Canis lupus familiaris: one gene and its partner. The protein of the gene in region 1 purifies or fractionates together with the protein of each later gene. This does not show direct contact. Links are inferred from orthologs where the notes say so. Each region holds a gene or a part of one and is shown in the gene's direction. Other genes may lie near its edges.

Region 1 (10,230 bases):
TATTGTCTGAGTTGCTTTTACTTCTCTATACAAAATGATTTTGAAGAGATTTTAAAGCTGTCCCTTTTTATACTCTTCTCATCCATGGCCACTGGTCCTGTTGGTGATGATGGCTGTGGTATGGGGTTTGCCTTGTACTGAGGGCTTGGGGTGGGGAAGCAATTTGTATTTTATTTTTTCTTAGCACAAGCAGGTGAATTGGGAGCAGCTTTCTGACTCCCCTTCCTTAACTTCACAGCTCACCAGGACTGTTTTATAAACTGCTGTATTTTAAAACCCCTTCCTGGATACTACCTGGGCCAGCAAGCTCTTAATGACACTGGCCTCAGGATGTCTTGCCCTTTGGGGCCTAGAACTCTGAACCTCATCTGTCCTGTTCCTGAGGGAGGAAAAGGGGAAAGTATACTTTAGGGGTGCTGATTCCTGCCCGAGTAAGGCATCAGGAGCCTTGCTCCCCTGTGAACTTTTTGGCAACAAGAGAACCCATTGAACATTCTTGGCCTCCACGCCGCTTTTCTGCCTTGTCAAGAAAGCTGGTGTGTTGTTTTGACCATTAGTTTTGTTGGTTCCACTGGGCCCACCGTTTCCCCAAATTTCCTGCCCTCCCTGGAGACTGGAGGTCTAGGGGAAAGGGCCCAGGATGTGGCAACAGAGCCCGATAGGACTCTGGGCAGCGGGACAGGATCCTGCTAAAGTAGCAGGAAGCCCCCAGAGCTCTGTCCCTCAAGGATGAAACAGGAACAGGTAGGCCTGGGCTTCTGAGTCAGCAGAAAGGGGCCCCCGTGGGGTCTAAAGTGAGGAAGGTCCAGACCACTTCACTAGCTTCACAGCAGAGGCTGAGCATGTGGGGGTCTCAGAAGAGGGTCCCCTCCTTTGAGGCAGGACTGGAAGCAGCCCCGGTCTGAGGAGGTCAGCCAGGCCCCTCCAAAGGTCTGATAACTCCACTCCACCCATAAGCCTTATTGCTCTGTTTACAGTGACCTGCCCCAGGCCCCTCCCCTAGGGGGACTGGGGTGTCTGGGGTCCACCCTCTGGGTCAATGGTTATTTGATTTGATTTTATTTTTTTCTCTGTAAACTTCTAACCTGGCTTTTCCCCATGTCAATTCCTGTGATTTATGCCAATAAAGTTTGCCATTATTTTCACCCATGCCTAGTTCCTTTTCTTGGCAGTCTGAGGTAGCAACTTAGTACCAGAAGAGAGACCAAACCCTCCCCAGACTCAGGGGGACCATATTGAAGGTAACTCAGTGATGTTCCCTTCTTTGAGGCAGACAGCCCTGGGGGATGGGATTCCTGTGTGAGCTTTGCATTTCTCCAGCAGCTGGTGAGGAAAAGCAGGGGGAACAGTGTTGTTGGGCCTTGTGTGGCTCAGGCCCTGCCCTAGTGCTTTGCTTGTAGACTTGCTGAGGGCACCCTCAGGTGGGCCTGTGGGTGGCCTCACCCTTATTTACAGCTCCGGAAAGAGGTTCAGAGAAGAGAACTGACATGCACAAAACGGTCCTGAGTGAGCACAGAGGCAGGATGTGAACCCGGGGCTTGCCTCTGCCTGTGTTCCTGCTTTGGCCAGACACCCCCCACCCCACGTGCTGGCACTACACCTTGGGTGTGGAACCTTCCCAGCGGAAGTTGGCAAATTTACATTTGAGGGTGGGTCTTTTCTGCCCCCTGGTGGTCGTATCCATATTTGCATGCTATAGTCCTGAGCCTCAGGAGCTTCCTGGATAGCATTGTTCCCCTTTGAGATGCTTCATAATTTCTCCGTTCTCTAGAATGGTTTTCCAAAAGCAGCATGTTGAATTTTAGTTGGAATCTTGGCCATTTCACGGTGCACTCAAGTGGAAAGTACCTTCGACCATCACTGAAAGTGCTGATGGTTTATTCTTCTGGACCATGTTGAATTCATTTTATTTATAGAAATGGATATGGCATGTTTCACTGTAATTTGCTTTTTCACTCAACTGTACTTTGTGAGTATTTTCCCATGTCAATAAATAGAGACCTGCATCATTTTTTAATGGCTTCATGATGTTCCATTATATTGATGTACTACAATTAGAGATATTTATATCATGAGAGCCAGGATGTCCTTGGAAAGGTACCATGTGAGTATGTATATAGTTGAAAAAGGGCATTTAGGGAGAGACAGCCTCAGAATTTAGAAGGCAATGTATAGCATCATGAAGCCCATGGGCTTTGAACTTGCTCCTAGATTTCATTTCCCAAGTCAGTGTTTATTGGGGCTTGAGCAAGTTGTTTAACCTCTCTGTGAATTTTATCATTGATGAACGGAAATGCTAATACTGTACCTCCTCAGGGAATTGTTGCAAGGATTCACAGCAGTAATGTGGACAAAGTACTTAGTGCAATGCTGAGCATGCAGTAATATATTGTCATTAAAAAGAGATCTTAAAAAAAAAAGATCTTAGCAGTAATTGACTCTAACAGTTCTCTAAACAGCTGGTCACCAGAAGCAACATCAGAAGCTTTGAAAAACACAGAAATTTCTAACTTGAAAGGGTGAAGATAGAAACACTCCTTCAGGCCTAGAATCTACCTCAATCATTACCAAAAAAACATATAGATATAGATATATAGATATAGCACAAATATTCAAATAAGTGTTGAATGAATGTATAATAAAAGAAACAAGAATTTAGTGATTTCTGCCTACATTCCAGGGACTATATTAAGTCTTAACACATATCTCATTTAATCCTCATAGCAACTCTAGAATGGGGATACTTCATTACTCCCATTTTTACAGTTAAGGAAAGGGAAACGGAGGGTCAGCAAGATGAAATTACTTCCTAAGGGACACCTGAGTGGCTTGGTGGTTGAGTGTCTGCCTTTGGCTCAGGGAGTGATCCCAGTCCAAGGATTGTCCTGCATCAGGCTCCCTGTGAGGAGGCTGCTTGTCTCTGCCTCTCTCTGTGTGTCTCTCATGAATAAATAAATAAATAAAATCTTAAAAATCAATCAATCGCTTCCTAGGATGGACACAGTTACACAGTTAGCAAGTGGTAGAAGAAGGATCTAGGTCTTCTGACTGCAAACCTTGCATTCATTCACTCAATAAATATTTGTTATATGCCTGCTATGTGCCAGGCACAAGACAAATGGCTCTGCTTTGGGAAGCCTGCATTCCCGCAGTGAGAGACAGACAACTAACAACATAGTAAATTATACACTGTTACAAGATGTAAGTGCTAAAAAAAAAAGAAGAAAAAGGTGTAAGTGCTACCTTAAAAATAGAGCAGAGTTAAGGGAGGAGTGGTAGTGGATTTTTTGGGTAATTTTAAACAGGGCAATTAGGGTAGGGCTCCTTTGAACACATGATATTTGAGCCAAGACTTGATGAAGTTGAGTTACTTTTATGAATGTCAGCAAGCCTTCCAGGAAGAGGCACTAGCTAGTGCAAGACCCCTCAAGTGGGAGCATGCTTTGGAAAAACGCAAAGAGCCTCGACAGGCTGGAAGGGAATGAGTCAGGAGGAAAAGAGTCGAGATTACAGAGGGGGAGGTCCAGAGCAGATCGTACGCAGTTTAAGTTTTAGGCTTTTATACTGAGGAAATGGGAAACCTTTGAGGAATTTTGAGCAGATGAGGTAATGATCTGACTTAGGTTTTATTTATTTTGTAAAGATTTTATTTATTTATTAGAGAGCAGAAACAGGAAGGAGCGGCAGAAGCAGGCTCCCCGCTGAGCAGGGAGCTCCATGCGCAGCTGGATCCCAGGACCCCAGGATCATGACTAGAGCCTAAAGCACTTAACCGACTGAGCTACCCAGGTGCCCCTGACTTGGCTTTTTTTTGTTGTTGTTATTATTGTTGTTGTTGTTGTTAAATAATTTATTTATTCATGGGAGACAGAGAGAGAGGCAGAGACACAGGCAGAGGGAGGAGCAGGCTCCATGCAGGGAGCCCGACGTGGGACTCGATCCCAGGTCTCCAGGGTCACGCCCTGGGCCCAAGGCAGGCGCTAAACCGCTGAGCCACCCGGGCGGCCCGTGACTTAGGTTTCAAAGGGTTCCTCCGTTTTGGTAGGGAGAAGAACAAATTGTCAAGTAGACAAGAGACCATGCTGTTTCTAAAAAGCATGTGCAATTATTCCTCAGTTCCACATAGTATTCTTTTCAGTTTGCGGTTTGGCCAGGGGGCAGGCGGAAACAGCGCTCAGCTCGCGAGCTCTAGCCCTTGCACCCGAGCACCTCCAGCCCAGCAGAGGGCAGCAGCTTGGAGCCGGCTCCTCCAACAGGAAACAGCGTCTTCCTTAACCGCTTGGTTTAAAGGCGGCTTCCCGTTGTCTAGAGTGGCAGCACCATCGTCCAATGGCTGCCGACCTCAGGGTGGCGTCACCAGGCAGACGTCGGCGCCAGCTAAGGGGTGGGGAGACTGTCTGGGTCTTTTGATTGGCCGCTCGGCTCACATATAAAAGGTGTGCGCCGGCGCGCGGCCCTCCTCTCTCCAGGCGTCCTCGTGGGAGGTTCGTGTGGCCGCTGCCGTCGGTCCGGGCCCGGGCCGCGGGGAGATGGGGGGGGCTCTTTGTGAGATCACGGGAGGGGCCGGGCCCAGGGCTCTTGGGCCTGGGGCCTCGGCGGGGGCTTGCGCTCCCCGAGTGGCGGCGGCGGCGGCAACCCCGAGCCGGGCGGGCGGGCGGGCGCGCGCTCACGTGTGGCCCGCCCCGCATAGGCCTCGGGCTTGGAGCCCGGTGGGGCCGAGGTGACGGGTGTCGAGGGCTGTCTGAGCTCCCTCTCTCCCCGCAGTGACATCGTCTTTAAACCCTGCGTGGCAATCCCTGACGCACCGCCGTGATGCCCAGGGAAGACAGGGCGACCTGGAAATCCAACTACTTCCTTAAGATCATCGTAAGTGCGGAGATGGGTCGCGGTAACCCGTTTTGCTGCTTGGGCCCTGGGCACTGACAGGGACCGTGAGCTGTCGGGTGTTGAGCATCTCCTGGGTACCGGCTACTAAATGACCATTTTAGGCAAATCTCGTTTAATTTTCGCAGTGTGCGGAGATCTGCGCCTTCTCCCCTCCTTGTTGCAGGTAAATGGGCTCAGGCAGGTTGAGTGGCTCCTAAGATGACAGCATTCATACTGTGGTCTGTCTGGCTTCCAAATAGCATTTATACTAAATGCTCCTCTGCCCCCGTTTTGGGAACGCCTGAGCCAATGAGTGACTCATTATAAAGTGGTAACTTGTTGCATATTAGGTCTTATCACGATACCAAACACCTCATGGGTACTTGGGTGGCTCAGACAGTTAAGCATCTGCCTTCTTCCGCTGGGATCATGATCCCAGGGTCCTGGGTACTAGCCCAGCTTGGGGCTCCCTGCTCAGTGGGGGGTTTGCTTGGCCCTCAGCCCCTCCCTGCTCCTGAGTGCACCTTTTTCTCAAATCCTATTTATTTATTTATTTATTTAATTTATGATAGTCCTAGAGAGAGAGAGAGAGAGAGAGAGAGAGGCAGCGACATAGGCAGAGGGAGAAGCAGGCTCCATGCACCGGGAGCCCGACGTGGGATTCGGTCCCGGGTCTCCAGGATCCCGCCCTGGGCCAAAGGCAGGCGCCAAACTGCTGCACCACCCAGGGATCCTCAAATCTTTAAAAAAAAAAAAAAAAAAATCCCGTTAATGTGTTTTCACGGATGGTCTTGAGGGTGGGGGAATCCTCCCTGCCCAGAAATGCAGACCATCCTGTTTTGCAGGCATTAGGCTGCCTTGTGGAGCTTAGTCTCTTCTACCCTATTTATCATGAAAGTTTTCAGACACAGAAAACTTAAAAGAATTGTCCAGTAGTCCCATATCCACAATCTAGATCCTGCAGGTAGCGTTTTGTTGTTTGTTTTATTGGTATTTGTTTATTGCAGTAAGCCTACCTTTTTTGGAATGGCTTTTTTGTTGTTGTTGTTGTTGATGCAGCCATTTAATGAATCCCTAAAAATTGGGGAAGATTATCTTGAGATCCCAGGATCTCGCCCTTTTGGCTCAGAGTGAGATCCCGGGATCCAGTCCCACATCGGGCTTCATGCATGGAGGCTGCTGCTCCCTCTGCTTCTGTCTCTGCCTGTTTCTCTCTCATGAATAAATAAAGTCTAAAAAAAATTTGAGGGTGAGTGAGAGAGCATGAACAGGAAGCCCAATGCAGGGACCCTGGGATCATGACCTGAGGCAAAGGCAGACGCTTAACTGAGCCATGCAGGTGCCGCAAAAATGAATGTTACGATAAAAAAAAAAAAATTGGGGGATTGAATTAGAAACTTCATTTTCACTATTCGTACTCAGTGTACAAATCTTTGATAAATTTGACAGTTTTACAACTCATAGCTCCCAGTGGGAGGACTTGTCCCAATTTCTGAGTCACTTAAAAAGCCTAGAAGGAAGGGAGTGAGATGGAAGCCGGTGATTATGGGGTTTGGTTTTTCTTGATGTTTCTCTTTCCTCCTGCTAAACATTGTTTCTGGCTTGTCTTTGTAGCAACTTTTGGATGATTATCCAAAATGCTTCATTGTGGGAGCAGACAATGTGGGTTCAAAGCAGATGCAGCAGATCCGCATGTCCCTCCGCGGGAAGGCTGTCGTGCTGATGGGCAAGAACACCATGATGCGCAAGGCCATCCGAGGGCATCTGGAGAACAACCCAGCCCTGGAGAAGTCAGTTCATTCTCCTGGGCATCTTTGTCCTCCTTTCTCGGTACCCTTCTCCCCTTTCCCAGAGAAGAATCAGTACTGAATGGTGACACTCTCTTGCAAACTTTCTTTGCAGACTGTTGCCTCATATCCGGGGGAATGTGGGCTTTGTATTCACCAAGGAGGACCTCACTGAGATCAGGGACATGCTGCTGGCCAATAAGGTAAGAAGATAATCAGGTTGGCTAGAGTCTCGTAATTAATTTTGCTTCTTACAAGGAAAATTGACCATTTTCAGCTTGTATTTGTGGAGAGGAGACTAATTAATATTGTTTCCCTTCAGGTTCCTGCTGCTGCCCGTGCTGGTGCCATAGCTCCATGTGAAGTCACTGTGCCAGCCCAGAACACAGGTCTGGGGCCCGAGAAGACCTCTTTCTTCCAGGCTTTAGGCATTACCACTAAGATCTCTAGGGGCACCATTGAAATCTTGGTGAGTGGACTTGGCTGGCCAGTGCTAGCCAGGCAAGTGGTGGGGGCTTGGTTGCTGTGGACCTGCTGGCTGTTCAGGTGTTGACCGCCCACTGTTACTTGTTCTTCAGAGTGATGTGCAGCTGATTAAGACCGGAGACAAAGTGGGAGCCAGCGAAGCCACACTGCTCAACATGCTGAACATCTCCCCCTTCTCCTTTGGGCTGATCATCCAGCAGGTGTTTGATAATGGCAGCATCTACAACCCTGAAGTGCTTGACATCACAGAGGAAACTCTGCATTCTCGCTTCTTGGAGGTACAAGCTGTCCATTTCAGGCCCTTGGTACATTAATGGTTGAGAGTATGGCTAGCTTCAGACTGGATTCCGGCTGTGCAGCTGAAATCAGCCGCATAATCAAGATGGTTATTTAATCTGTTTAGTTACCTCATCTGTAGAACAGCAATAATATAAAAATAATATAAGGTTGTTGAAGTTTTAAAGAGTTTGGTTTGTTGTTTTTTTTTTTTTTAAAAAGATTTATTTATTCCTGAGAGACCTAGGCAGGGAAATAGGCAGTGGGAGAAACAGGTTCCCCATAGGGAGCCCAGTGTGGGACTCATCCATGATCCCAGGATCACACCCTGAGCCAAAGGCAGATGCTCAATCACTGAGCCACCCAGGCGTCCCGGATTTAAAGAAATAACGAATAGAAAGCTTTCTAGCAGCTCTGGGCACGAAGTGAGGGCCGTTGTTATTCTAGCGACTGCAATAAAACATGGAATTTTTGAGTAGTATCCTGAGGTAAAGAAGAAAGAAAAGTGAGGACTGTGTGATACATAAATGTTGTTGCCAAGCACTCTGGGGAGAACTGACTTTACCTGAGATTAGTTTGCTTAGATTTTGCCATTAGGGACACCTGGATGGCTCAGCGGTTGAGAGTCCGCCTTCAGCTCAGGGCGTGATCCCGGGATCCGGGATTGAGTCCCGAATTGGGCTCCCTGTAGGGAGCCTGCTTCTCCCTCTGCTTGTGTCTGTGCCTCTTTCTCTGTCTTCATGAGTAAATAAATAAATCTTTAAAATAAAAAAAAAATTTTACCATTAAAATTTTTTTAAGGTTTTGTTTATTAATGAGAGACAGAGAGGCAGAGACATAGGCAGCTGGAGGAGAAACAGCCTCCATACAGGATCCCGATGCGGGACTCGATCCCAGAACTGAGATCATATCCTGAGCTGAAGGCAGACGCTCAACTGCTGAGCCACCCAGGCATCGGCATTAAAATTTTTTTTTTTAATTTTTTATTTATTTATGATAGTCACAGAGAGAGAGAGGCGCAGAGACACAGGCAGAGGGAGAAGCAGGCTCCATGCACCAGGAGCCTGATGTGGGACTCGATCCCGGGTCTCCAGGATCGCGCCCTGGGCCAAAGGCAGGCGCCAAACCGCTGCGCCACCCAGGGATCCCCATTAAAAATTTTTTAAATGGATAAGTAAGGTGATGAAAGATGTAATTCCTTTTCTTGGACAAATGAAAAATTTGCAGTTATGTATACTGCTGTTTTTGGAAATTTCATGGTGGATGAAATTCTCATCGGAATTAGCTTAACTTTTTTTTTCTCATGGAACTGAATGATGACAGAATGGGGACTGTTGAAGTAAATGCCATCATTGTGGTGTATGAAATACTCCTGTTTAGAGTAAGGGCAAAAAATGTTTATGAATTACTGGGTCTGAATTGCCTTGCCAGGAGCATTTGGTGTGAGACACAGCAAGTCAGTCTTGAAGTCTTATCTGCTGTTGAACTTTGCTTGAGCTTCACGGTCTTGTCTGTAAGATAGATACCTCAATTGAAATGTAATTTCTGGGCGGCCCAGGTGGCTAAGCGGTTTAGCGCCACCTTCAGCCCAGGGCCTGATCCTGGAGACCTGGGATCGAGTCCCACATTGGGCTCCCTGCATGGAACCTGCTTCTCCCTCTGTGTCTCCGTCTCTCTCTCTCTCTCTCTCTCTCTCTCTCTCTGTGTCTTCTCTTTAATAAATAGTCTTTAAAAATTTTTTTTTTAAAATGAAATGTAATTTCTTCCTCTCTCTAGGGTGTCCGCAACGTTGCCAGCGTATGTCTGCAGATAGGTTACCCGACTGTTGCATCAGTGCCCCATTCTATCATCAATGGATACAAGCGGGTCCTGGCTTTGTCTGTGGAAACTGATTACACCTTTCCACTTGCTGAAAAGGTAAAAACCCACTAGGACCACAGTGGCCTTAAATGGGATAAATGGATGGCAGTGTGTGGAGTTGTGCTTTAATCGTATTTTACAAAGCAGATACGTTTTTAAGAGTATACTTAAGCTGGGAGCAGGGAGGTGTGTCCTGGACTTTAAAAATGACAGGAGACTGGAAGAGGTTAGTTGATGGATAAGAGTGGGGCTTAAGACTTACCAGGCCATACTCAAGCTGTCTTGCCTGATCATTTCTGGGGAAGGCTTCAGTGGCTTAGAAGTTGTTGGCCATTGAGCTAGAGCTGAGGGGTTGTGGTTAGTAGGGGTTGTGGGTGACCATTTTGATCATGAACTTTTCTGCTTGCTTCAGGTCAAGGCCTTCTTGGCTGATCCATCTGCATTTGTGGCTGCTGCTCCTGTGGCTGCTGCCACCACTGCTGCACCTGCTGCTGCCGCAGCCCCAGCCAAGGTTGAAGCAAAGGAAGAGTCGGAGGAATCGGACGAGGATATGGGATTTGGTCTCTTTGACTAATCACCAAAAAGCAACCAATTCAGCCAAGTTTATTTGTGAAACAAGGAAATAAAGGCTTACTTCTCTTAAAAGTCTCTGAACTTTTCATTTTGTACTTGTTGAGGTTTACAGTGCTGTATACTAGACATTAGAGCCATGGTAGAGCAGTAGAGCTTTATTTGAAGTGGATGTTTCTTTCCTTTTTTTTTTCTTTCCAGTGTTCTTTTTGTAATTAAGTGAGGTGCTGCTTTCCCAGCATTCAGTACCACCCAGCTTTAACTATTTTCTAAGGATTTTATTTTTAATCTCTTAATCCCAACTCAGATCAAACTCACAACCCAGAGATTAAGAGGTGCATGCTCCACTGACAGAGCAGCCAGTGCCCCTAACTCTTTCTATGAT
Region 2 (10,207 bases), on another chromosome or scaffold:
AGAAATGATGAGGCTGGGATACTTCCAAACTCATTATATAAGGTCAGATACCAAAGTGAGACCAGGACACAGCAAAAAAAACAGAAGTATCCCTAATGAATATAAATGGAAAAATTCTCTATGAAATATTAGCAAACTGAATTCAAGGACACAAAAAGAATTATACACCATGATCAGGTGGGATTTATCTCTGGGATGCAAGGATGGTTCAATATATGCCAATCAACAAATATATCACATTAATACAATGAAAGATAGGGGTACCTGGGTGGCTCAGGTCATGATCCCAGAGTCCTGGGATCGTGCCCCACGTGGGGGAGTCTGCTTCTCCATCTGACACCCCGGTGTTCTCCTGCAGACCTGTCCAATCCAACTGCCCCCAGGTGTCCCTCCAAAGTGACTCCTGTCCTAAGGCACGGTGGAAATAAGCTCATGCACCAACATGCCTACAGTTCCTGCAGCTGAGCCTCTCAGCTGACTGCACGGAGCAAGCCTTGGCTGTTGGTGTGCCCACAGCTGAGGCATATAGGCTAAGTGTAGACAGCTGGACTGTCAGTCCTGTCCACTAATGAAACCCACTGCTGCTGCAGAGGCCTCTCAACAGCGGGCAGTAAACTCTGAGGATGCCACAGCAGGCGGTGCAGCTAAGGGAAGCTAGCAGAGCTGAAGGCAATGGCAGCTCAGCCACAACACAGCCCACAAAGGGGACACCTCTTGAGCACCTGGTTCTGGTTACCATGGTGGGGGGTGGGGGGACTGCACTACAGGGCACCACAAGACCTTTTCTACACAAGGCCACTATTTTCAAGACCAGGAGATATAGCGGATTTACCTAATACACAAAACACAGACACAACGAGGAGACAAGGATATGTCCCAAATCAAAGAATAAGACAAAATCACAGTAAAAGAGCTAAATGAAACAGATAATACTCTTGATAAACAATGCAAAGTAATGGTCATAAAGATTCTCACTGGACCTGAGAAAAGACGGCTGTGACATCATCAAGTATAATAGTATTCACATCATGGAGTGCCAGAGAGAGAGAGAAAAGATAGAAAACTCATTTGAAGAAAAAACAGCTGAAAACTTCACCACTTAGGGGAAGGAAACAAACACCCAGGTTCAGAAAGGAAAGAGAGCCCCCAACAAGGTGAACACAGGAGGTCCACACTGAAACACATAATTAAAATGGCAAAAAGTGATGATAAAGACACAATTTTATTTTTTTATTTTTATTTATTTATTCATGAGAGCTACGGGGGGGGGGGGGGGGCAGAGACATAGGCAGAGGGAGAAGCAGGCTCCATGCAGGGAGCCATGCAGGGAGCTCCACGTGGGACTCGATCCCAGGACTCCAAGATCACGCCCTGGGCTGAAGGCAGATGCTCAACTGCTGAGCCACCCAGGGATCCCGATAAAGACACAATTTTAAAAGCAGAGAAGCAAAACAAGTTACGACGGAAAATCCCATAAAGCTATGAGCTGATTTGTCAACAGAAACTATGCAGGCCTGGGCAGCCCGGGTGGCTCAGCGGTTTAGCACCGCCTTCAGCCCAGGGTGGGATCCTGGAGACCTGGGATCAAGTCCCATGTCAAGCTCCCTGCATGGAGCCTGCTTCTCCCTCTGCCTGTGTCTCTGCCTCTCTCTTTCCCTAAGTCTCTCACTGAATAAATAAATAAATAAAATCTTAAAAAAAAAAAAAAAGAAACTATGCAGGCCAGAAGAAAGTGGCATGATATATTATTCAAAGGGCTAAAAGGAAAAAAAAAAAACAAGAATACTTCACTTAGCAAGGTTATTGCTCAGAAATGAAGGAGAGATTAAGCTTCCCAGACAAACAAAAGTTAAACTGGCCTAATAAGAAACGTTAAGGGGGATTCTTTAATTGGAAAAAGGCCATAACTAGAAGAAAATTATGAAAGGAAAAAATTTCACAACTAAAAACAAACATACAATAAAGGTAGTAGGTTTATCCCTTATAAAACCCATATGGAAGTTAAAACACAAAAGTAGTAAAATCAATTATATCTACAAAATTAGCCAAAGCATTCGCAAAATAAAAAGATGTGAAATACGACATCATATACATAAAATGTGAAGGGAGAGTAAAAATTTAGAGCTTTTAGAATGTGTTCAAACTTAATATAGACTGCAATATATATAAAATGTTATACATGAATCCAGTGGTGATCGCAAATCAAAAACCTGTAAGAGGGCAGCCCGGGTGGATCAGCAGTTTAGCGCTGCCTTTGGCCCAGGGTGTGATCCTAGAGGCCCAGGATTGAGTCCCACGTCGGGCTCCCTGCATGGAGCCTGCTTCTCCCTCTGCCTGTGTCTCTGCCTCTGTCTGTGTGTCCCTCATGAATAACTAAATAAAATCTTTAAAAAAAGAGAGAACAGATTGGTGGTTGCCAGAGGGAGGGATGGGATGGGCGAAGGGGGTAAAAAATTACAAACCTGAAGTTAAAAGTCACTGTGGGTGTAACGTACGACATGGTGACGATAGTTAATAGGACTGTGTGTCATATTTAAAGGCTGCCAAGAAAGCAGACCTTAAAAATGGCTATTTATGTATAGTGATGTATGTTAACCAAGACTTACCATTTTTGCAATACACACAAATAGCGAATCATAATGCTATACTCCGGAAATAAAAAATGTCATGTCAATCATACCTCAAAAAAAAAAAAATAAAAAAAGAAAGAAAAAGAAAGAAAAAGCCCAACAACTCTCAATACGAATCCAACACCGATTTTATTAAGTTTCAAAAGATACAAAGTGGCAATGCAGCACCTACACAGAGAGAGGTTGCTTCAACTCATCTTTGGTATCTTAAGGGCACGTTCGAGGCATTTCCACCCAAACACGGAGTGCCTTCGTTATACCAAATGCAACTGTCACGGAAAGCTCCCCTTCCTTCCCAGTAGATCCCTAATACGTAGGTCCCTAACAGTACTCACCCCCTGCGCTGTGCAAGGATGCGGGGAGTCCCGGCAGGCCGCGGCTCAGCGCCCGGGGCACGGTAGGCGCTCGGATGCTGCTGCTGCAGCTGCTGCAAGCTTCTCTTTTCCTCCTGCAGCTTTTTCTCTGGGACGTTGTCCTAAGCACCTGAGACCTCCCCGCAGACAGCTGCTGAGCTCCAGGTGCTCACAGCCCGCGGGGCGCGGGGGGGGGGGGGGGGGGGGGGGGGGGCCGCAGCCTGGTGACGTCATCAAACGTCCAAATAGCGTGACCCCGGATACACTACCTGGGGTGAACTCTATTTACTCAGGTCACTTTTTCCTAAAAGTATTTTTACTGTCTCAGGAGCCCCGAGTTTTACCCCAACCAAGAGAATTCGCAGCCGCAGGTGCCTGATAACCTCTTGACCCCGCTCACCAGCGTGTCGCGCTGTGTGCGCAGGCGCGTTCTCGCCCCGCCTCTTCCGCCAGGAGCGGGCGCCGATTGGTCCGTGGGATTCGTATAAGACGCTGCGCGCAGGCGCGGGACCTCCTTTCCTCAGCTGCCGCTAAGGTGCTCGGTCCTTCCGAGGAAGCTAAGGCCGCGTTGGGGTGAGGCCCTCACTTCAGCCGGCGACTAGCACCGCGCTCGGCACGCGCCCTCGCCATGGCCTCCGTCTCGGAGCTCGCCTGCATCTACTCGGCCCTCATCCTGCACGACGACGAGGTGACGGTCACGGTGAGTGCGGGCCCGGGCGGGCGTCGGCCTGCGGCCGGCCGCTTTCCGTGCGCTGGCGGGGCGCCCTGCTAGGCCCTTCCGGACGAAGCCGCGGCCATCGGCGTCCCGGCGGCGGTGCGGGCGGCCCACGTGCGTGCGTACGTGCGTGCTTACGTGCATGCGGGCCCCTGTGCGTGCCGGCGGGCGGTGCGGGTGGGCCCACGTGCGTGCCGGCGGGCGGTGCGGGCGGGCCCGCGTGCGTGCGTGCCCACGTGCGTGCTGGCTGGCGGGGCGGGCGGGCCCACGTGCGGGCGGGCAGACATCCTGACCCGTTTGCCCGGACGGCCTCCCCGGGCCAGGCTGCGGGATGCGGATGGAGCGCACGTCAGCTTGCTGCACCTGCCGCCCTGCGAGGTGCCCGGCACGCGGGGGCCGCTGCGTCTCCGGTGATCTAAGGGTCATGAGAAATTTTTCGTTTTAAATAAACGTACGCGAAATACAGACACAGTATTTGGTGCGGTTAAACGTGGTTTCTGGACACACGTTTTGAGTGATTTACTTTCAGTTGTAGTGGTTTGGAGACGTTTCCGAAAACTGCGCTTTGCTTGCTCGTGGAATGCGGGTTTTTTTTTTTTTTTTTTAACTTTTTAAATTATTTTTTTAGGAGGATAAGATCAATGCCCTCATTAAAGCAGCGGGTGTGAATGTTGAGCCTTTCTGGCCGGGTTTGTTTGCAAAGGTAAGGAAATGGCAGTAGAGTGATTTGGAGAAGCAGACTTGGGGAGATCAGGGATTTACAAAGTCAGGTGTACTTGTAACACGAGAACGGCTCATAGTTCCATATCTAGAGTCTAAAATTTGTCTTTAACTTCCTTTTTTTTTTTTTTTTTTTTTTAAAGATTTATTTATGAGAGATGCAGAGAGAGAGAGGCAGAAACACAGGCAGAGGGAGAAGCAGGCTCCATGCAGGGAGCCCAATGCAAGACTCGGCCCCGGTCTCCAGGGCCACGCCCTTGGCCGAAGGCAGGGGCTAAACCGCTGAGCTACCCCACACGTCCCCCTGTCTTTTCCTTGTTTGCAGTCTGGTTTCTTTTTCCTTCTGTTCTGAAATCATGACACACACACATATATATGTACATGTATACATAAATGTTACACACCCACCGGATGACTCCTTAAAAGAGTCACCCAGGAGGTAATACTGCCTATGCCCTTCCATTCTTCTTTTTAAATACATAACAATTTTATTGATCCATCAGAAAAAAATAAAAGTACAGTGTAACTTGCATCCCCACTGGGGCTAAATTAGCCCTTAAGCACAGATTATGATTCTTAAGTGCTGATTCTTCTCAATGTCCAAAGTTAATTTTTAATCAAGGATTTCTCCTGGAAATAAGATTTTAAATCGTTTTTCATTCGCATTAGGATAACCATTGAGATCGGCGTCCTGTATTATATGTAAGAAGAGGAATATTGTATGAGAGCTAGGACTCCCATTAGTTCATAGCTAATTTGTGCGACAATGAAATGGTAAAAACAGCAGTGACAGGCCCCAGAGATGAGTGTCCAACTGCCCCTACAGAGACATGGTCATGAATTGGTGTGAACCAGGGGCAGAGCTGTCCCTTATAAAATTGTCAAACTCTTTAACCTCATGAACATTTAGATCTCAGAACCGGGTTTCATGGAAATTGGATGTAGTGGCCCTTATTTTGAACATTGACTGTTGGGATATATATCAAAAGATCAATGAAGACAAGATTCTTACCCAAGGAACTTGGTATCATTTTCTATTACATATTATTTAGTCTCTGGTAAGAGGCAATTAGCTTTGTCTCTCCAGGTTGTGTCCTCCAAAGAGCTTTGAATGATTGAAAACATTGTACTTTCAATAAAGGTACTCCTCTTTAGTAAAGTCCCTGGACTTCGCAGTCTGAAAAATTGAATTCACTCTTAAGATGTGGAACTGGAAAGAATCTTGGTTTGAGTATTTAAGGAAGCTTGAGTTTTTTTGCCAACAACTGAAGCCAGCATTTTGCGGCCAGTTTTTCTCCTCTATAAAAGGAAGGAATTCAGTTACTCTAAGATTTTAAGCTTGAGTAGGTTTTCTTGTGATTAGTTTTTAATATAGCTCTGTGTCCCTAAGTCCTAGGAAATCTCAGCAGACAAAATGTCACTGGCAGATTGCAGCAAAGGAGAAGGAAGGGCAATGTAGTGTTGGGGATTGATTGCTGTCAGTTCAAAAGGGAGGTAAAGGTTACCTCCCTTTAGAGGTGGGAGGTTTGTAACAACAAAAGGCCAGAACTGAGTGTAATCTGTTTGCACGTGTGTTGCAGGCCCTGGCCAACGTGAACATTGGGAGCCTCATCTGCAATGTAGGAGCTGGTGGACCTGCCCCAGCAGCTGGCGCTGCGCCAGCAGGAGGTCCTGCTCCTTCCACCGCTGCTGCCCCAGGTAGAAAACTTTTTTGGTATTGGAGGGAGGAGCGTGGAGATTAAGAGCAATCCTGTCTGTAATACTTAGTTTGCTAAAAGAGTAGACGATAGAAATCCTAAAACCAGGGACATAGTTGGAAGTCTTGGGTATTTTTGACCATGTAAATTGAAGGGCCTGGAGCTCGTTGGAGTTTAAAATACTGACAAGGTGTGTTATTGTTTTTGTTTTTTAGCTGAGGAGAAAAAAGTGGAAGCCAAGAAAGAAGAATCTGAGGAGTCTGATGATGACATGGGCTTTGGTCTCTTTGACTAAACTTTTATAAGCTGCTCAATAAAAAGCTGAAGTCCTGGTTGCTGTCGGTTTTTCAGTTGTTTGAGGATGTTCTGTGTAAGGGTGATCTCATTTCTGCAACACTGGTTTTTAGCCTTTATTGGTATGACGCCAGCTGAGTTTACCCCCCTGCCATCACCTCATGGTGAGGAATAGTACACCAGCCAGGTGCTGCACCAAGAATGTACCTAATACTGCCTCTAGAACTGCATGGAGAGGTAGGAGAAGGGCAGATGCCTTGTCAGGGTCACCTTGAGTTCATGATAACCAGGTCTGTCCCTTTTGACAGGAATAAGAGTCAGTGGTAGTGGTGGTACAATCAAGGCCTCTTAAATCCCAAGTATAGGGGATCCCTGGGTGACTCAGCGGTTGAGGATCTGCCTTCGGCCCAGGGTGTGATCCTGGAGTCCTGGGATCAAGTCCCACACCAGGCTCCCTGCATGGAGCGTTTCTCCCTCTACCCGTGTCTCTTGTCTCTCTCTGTGTGTCTACAGAATAAATAGATAAAATCTTAAAAATCCCAAGTAGGGATCCCTGGGTGGCGCAGCGGTTTGGCGCCTGCCTTTGGCCCAGGGCGCGATCCTGGAGACCCGGGATCGAATCCCACATCGGGCTCCCAGTGCATGGAGCCTGCTTCTCCCTCTGCCTGAGTCTCTGCCTCTCTCTCTCTCTGTGACTATCATAAATAAATAAAAATTTAAAAAAAAAAATCCCAAGTATAATTCTGGCTACTGGCTACAAATTTTTGAGCTATGCTGAACCATCTGAAGTGGAATACTGATATATCCCTGGGTTTATAATTCAGCAATACTGTGAAGGAGTAGTGGAAATTCAGGTTTGAGTCCCCATTTACAGAGACTAAAACTAATTCAAACCTGTATTTGACTTAAGTAGGGTTTAGGGAAGGGGGTGGCTGAGCACTGGTGTGGAGACTGGTTCACTTTGAAATGTCAGAGGAACCCCTATTTGGACTTATAAAAAAGTCCTCAGAGCAATTAGTGCCAGGCATCTGAACATCTAACCCTTTCCTCTGTCTCCCAGTTTTAAGAGAGACCAGGAGTTGATGAAAAGACTTCGTAGCCCCAACTGTCCTCCAGTGAAAGATGTATAAGACCATTAGTGTTAAGTTACACCACCACATGGGTAAGTAGCTGGTGTACCTTACAAAATTGAACACCTAATCCAGCAGTTCTGTTCCTATAATTACCCAAGAGGAAGTATGGACATCTGGGTGCATCTCTGGGAATGTTAAAAGCAGTGTTTGAAAGCAAAAACCTCAAAGATCCATCAACCAGAAAACCAGTGATCCCAAATTATCAGCAGAGAAAGTGAGCTATGGATATAGAAGAATTCTTAAGGTTTAGATGTTACTGGTATTCAAGTTTTGGAGTTTTCATGTATTAGAATCCTTTGAGCATGTGAGGAATGGGTCATAAAGTGATTGTGGGGGTTCCCAGATGGTTAGGTAGAGCATGCAGCTCTGATCTTGGGGTTAAGAGTTCTAAGCCCCACGTTGGGTGAAGAGCTTAAGTACTTAATTTTCCTCCATCAGCTAATAGTGCTGTGCTGATCTCAAGCATGTCCTGTCCTCTGCACAACAATCCCATGGTAAGACCATGTCATGGGTCAGAGGTTAACTTGAGGTAAAGGCTAGTAAATGAGTGGAAGGATTCAGACAGGCTCCGACTGCTCCTCTCCCGGTGCCTCTGCTCCTTTCTCCTGTCCTGTGTCTAAGGACAACACCTGCCTCACTGGGTTCTAGAGATCTGAGATGACAGGAATTGTGCCTGGTGAGCCCTGAAGTGTCAGAAGGGAATATGGACACTTAGCCAAGGAAATATTTTGAACGGATTAAAGAACACTTAAGAAGATAAAGGAAAACTGTATCTAGAACAGCTGAAAATTAAGTGGTAAATTGGGATATAAGTATCAAGTTCAGTTATCCAAACTACAATGAAAATGTTTTCTGTAATACTCAAGTGGTAACATGGCCTCATGGGTGGGTCTAGCTTTCGAAAAGAAATCTTTTAAATGTAAAAATCTAAATACCTTTCTAAAGAATGATATTCAAACAAGGAGATCCACTTACATGTGTAGAGATGCTAACATTCATTTGATTTTGAATTATAAAGTCTGCCCAGGAGACCCTGGGTGGCCTAGTGGTTGAGCATCTGCCGTTGGCTGAGGTGATCCCGGAGTCCTGGGATCGAGTCCCGCATCGGGTTCCCCATAGGGAGTCTGCTTCTCCCTCTGCCTGTCTCTGCCTCTATATCTTTATATATATATATATATATATATATAAGTCCGCCCAGTTATACTCCCCTTTTAGTTTCCCTGACTCTTAATTTCCTCTGCAAAATGGGAATAATACCTAGTTTATACTGGGGGATGAACTTGCCCATCAATGTTTGCTGGTATGCAGATGTTATTTCCCTTCTGTGTAAGGTACAAAAAACACAGCTGGTATCCCTGGTTCTCAGAATCCCATGGTCCAGCAAGCCTAAGCCTTTGCCCTTCAAACCTCCTCCCTGCCAGTCATTTGCAATCAGGCAGCAGCTTTGGTTTCTCATGACTGGTTTTCACACTACTGATTGTTCACCAAACATACTTGCTATTTTTTTTTTTTTAAGATTTTATTTATTCATGAGAGACACAGAGGGGCAAGAGACACACAGGCAGTGGGAGAAGCAGGCTCCATGCAGGGAGCCCGATGTGAGACTCGATCCTGGGTCTCCGGGATCATGCCCTGGGCTGAAGGCGGCGCTAAACTGCTGAGCCACCGGGGCTGCCCCATACTTGCTATTTTGTTTAAAAAGTTCCATTGTTCCTAAGACTCTGTTCAACTCTCTTTTGGCCACTCAGGGCATACCCAGGTCCATGGCTGGCTCACCCTTCCCTTTTTAAGTATAATCTTGCATCAGCAAGGAGCCAGGATTAGGTGTAGGGGAGAATTTTAGGAACAGACTTGCTCACTAACAAACCATCTAAGAACAACAATTTTTAAAACAATCCATATTGTCACCGAATGTGTTGCACAATGGGATAAAAAAAAAAAGAAAATCCAAAGCTCCTGTCAACTGTTACACTTTTTTTTTCTTCTTTCTTCTAAAAATGAGAGAACTACACATGAAATTCTAAAACCACCTTTTGGAAAAGAAATACTCTAATTAAAGTGAAAGAATTCAAAATATTTATGCAACAAAACAACTTGGAATATTGCTACAAATTCAAATAAAGTATGTCAAATCCTTCCTCCCCGTAATTTGAAAGAACAGATACAGTAAAGTTCTGAGGGAACAGCGGGAGCCAGGTGTTCATTGGCTTGGTTGAATAGTGCTTTATAGTTTAGAAGTGATCTTGATGGTTTTCCCATTCTGAACTTTACCATGTCAGGAGAACTTAATTCACCCTGTTTGTACACCAGACTTGCTTGGAGAGTTTGGCTGCCTGCCAGGTTTGCGCAGCTAACGTAAGGCAAAGCTGGGCCTGCCACCTCGGTCGTCTCCAGTAGCTCTACCACCACACAGCGTCCCCTCCACATGCACTTTAAGGTACAGTGATGAGCCTTTTTCCTCTGTCCCCATAAAAGCCACGTCTCCATCTTCTTATCTTTGCAAACAAGACGGGATAATTCAACGTGAGGTAGACATGGGCCACTTTCAAGAGAGCTTTGGTATTTTTAGTCCTTCTGGAGCAGCCACGAGGTGGCCCTCAAAGTCGGATCACAGACAGCACACAGCATGCATCGGGAACCACGAACTGTTCAGGTCTGATGCAGC

Evidence for each region. The genes of interacting proteins can lie anywhere in the genome.
Region 2: the proteins of RPLP0 (region 1) and RPLP1 fractionate together in Homo sapiens (co-fractionation; 5 studies listed by BioGRID and IntAct, with this or other methods). This does not show direct contact. The link is inferred for Canis lupus familiaris from reciprocal best matches to the Homo sapiens genes RPLP0 and RPLP1.

The regions. Positions count from the first base shown.
Region 1 is NC_049247.1:16,495,011-16,505,240, reverse strand, and holds RPLP0 (60S acidic ribosomal protein P0), read left to right. Parts: upstream 1-4,764; 5' UTR 4,765-4,812; coding exon 4,813-4,866; intron 4,867-6,480; coding exon 6,481-6,656; intron 6,657-6,768; coding exon 6,769-6,856; intron 6,857-6,975; coding exon 6,976-7,122; intron 7,123-7,231; coding exon 7,232-7,417; intron 7,418-9,191; coding exon 9,192-9,332; intron 9,333-9,687; coding exon 9,688-9,849; 3' UTR 9,850-9,916; downstream 9,917-10,230.
Region 2 is NC_049251.1:33,775,220-33,785,426, forward strand, and holds RPLP1 (60S acidic ribosomal protein P1), read left to right. Parts: upstream 1-3,475; 5' UTR 3,476-3,611; coding exon 3,612-3,683; intron 3,684-4,326; coding exon 4,327-4,401; intron 4,402-5,998; coding exon 5,999-6,116; intron 6,117-6,330; coding exon 6,331-6,410; 3' UTR 6,411-6,450; downstream 6,451-10,207. UniProt on the Homo sapiens protein: Plays an important role in the elongation step of protein synthesis.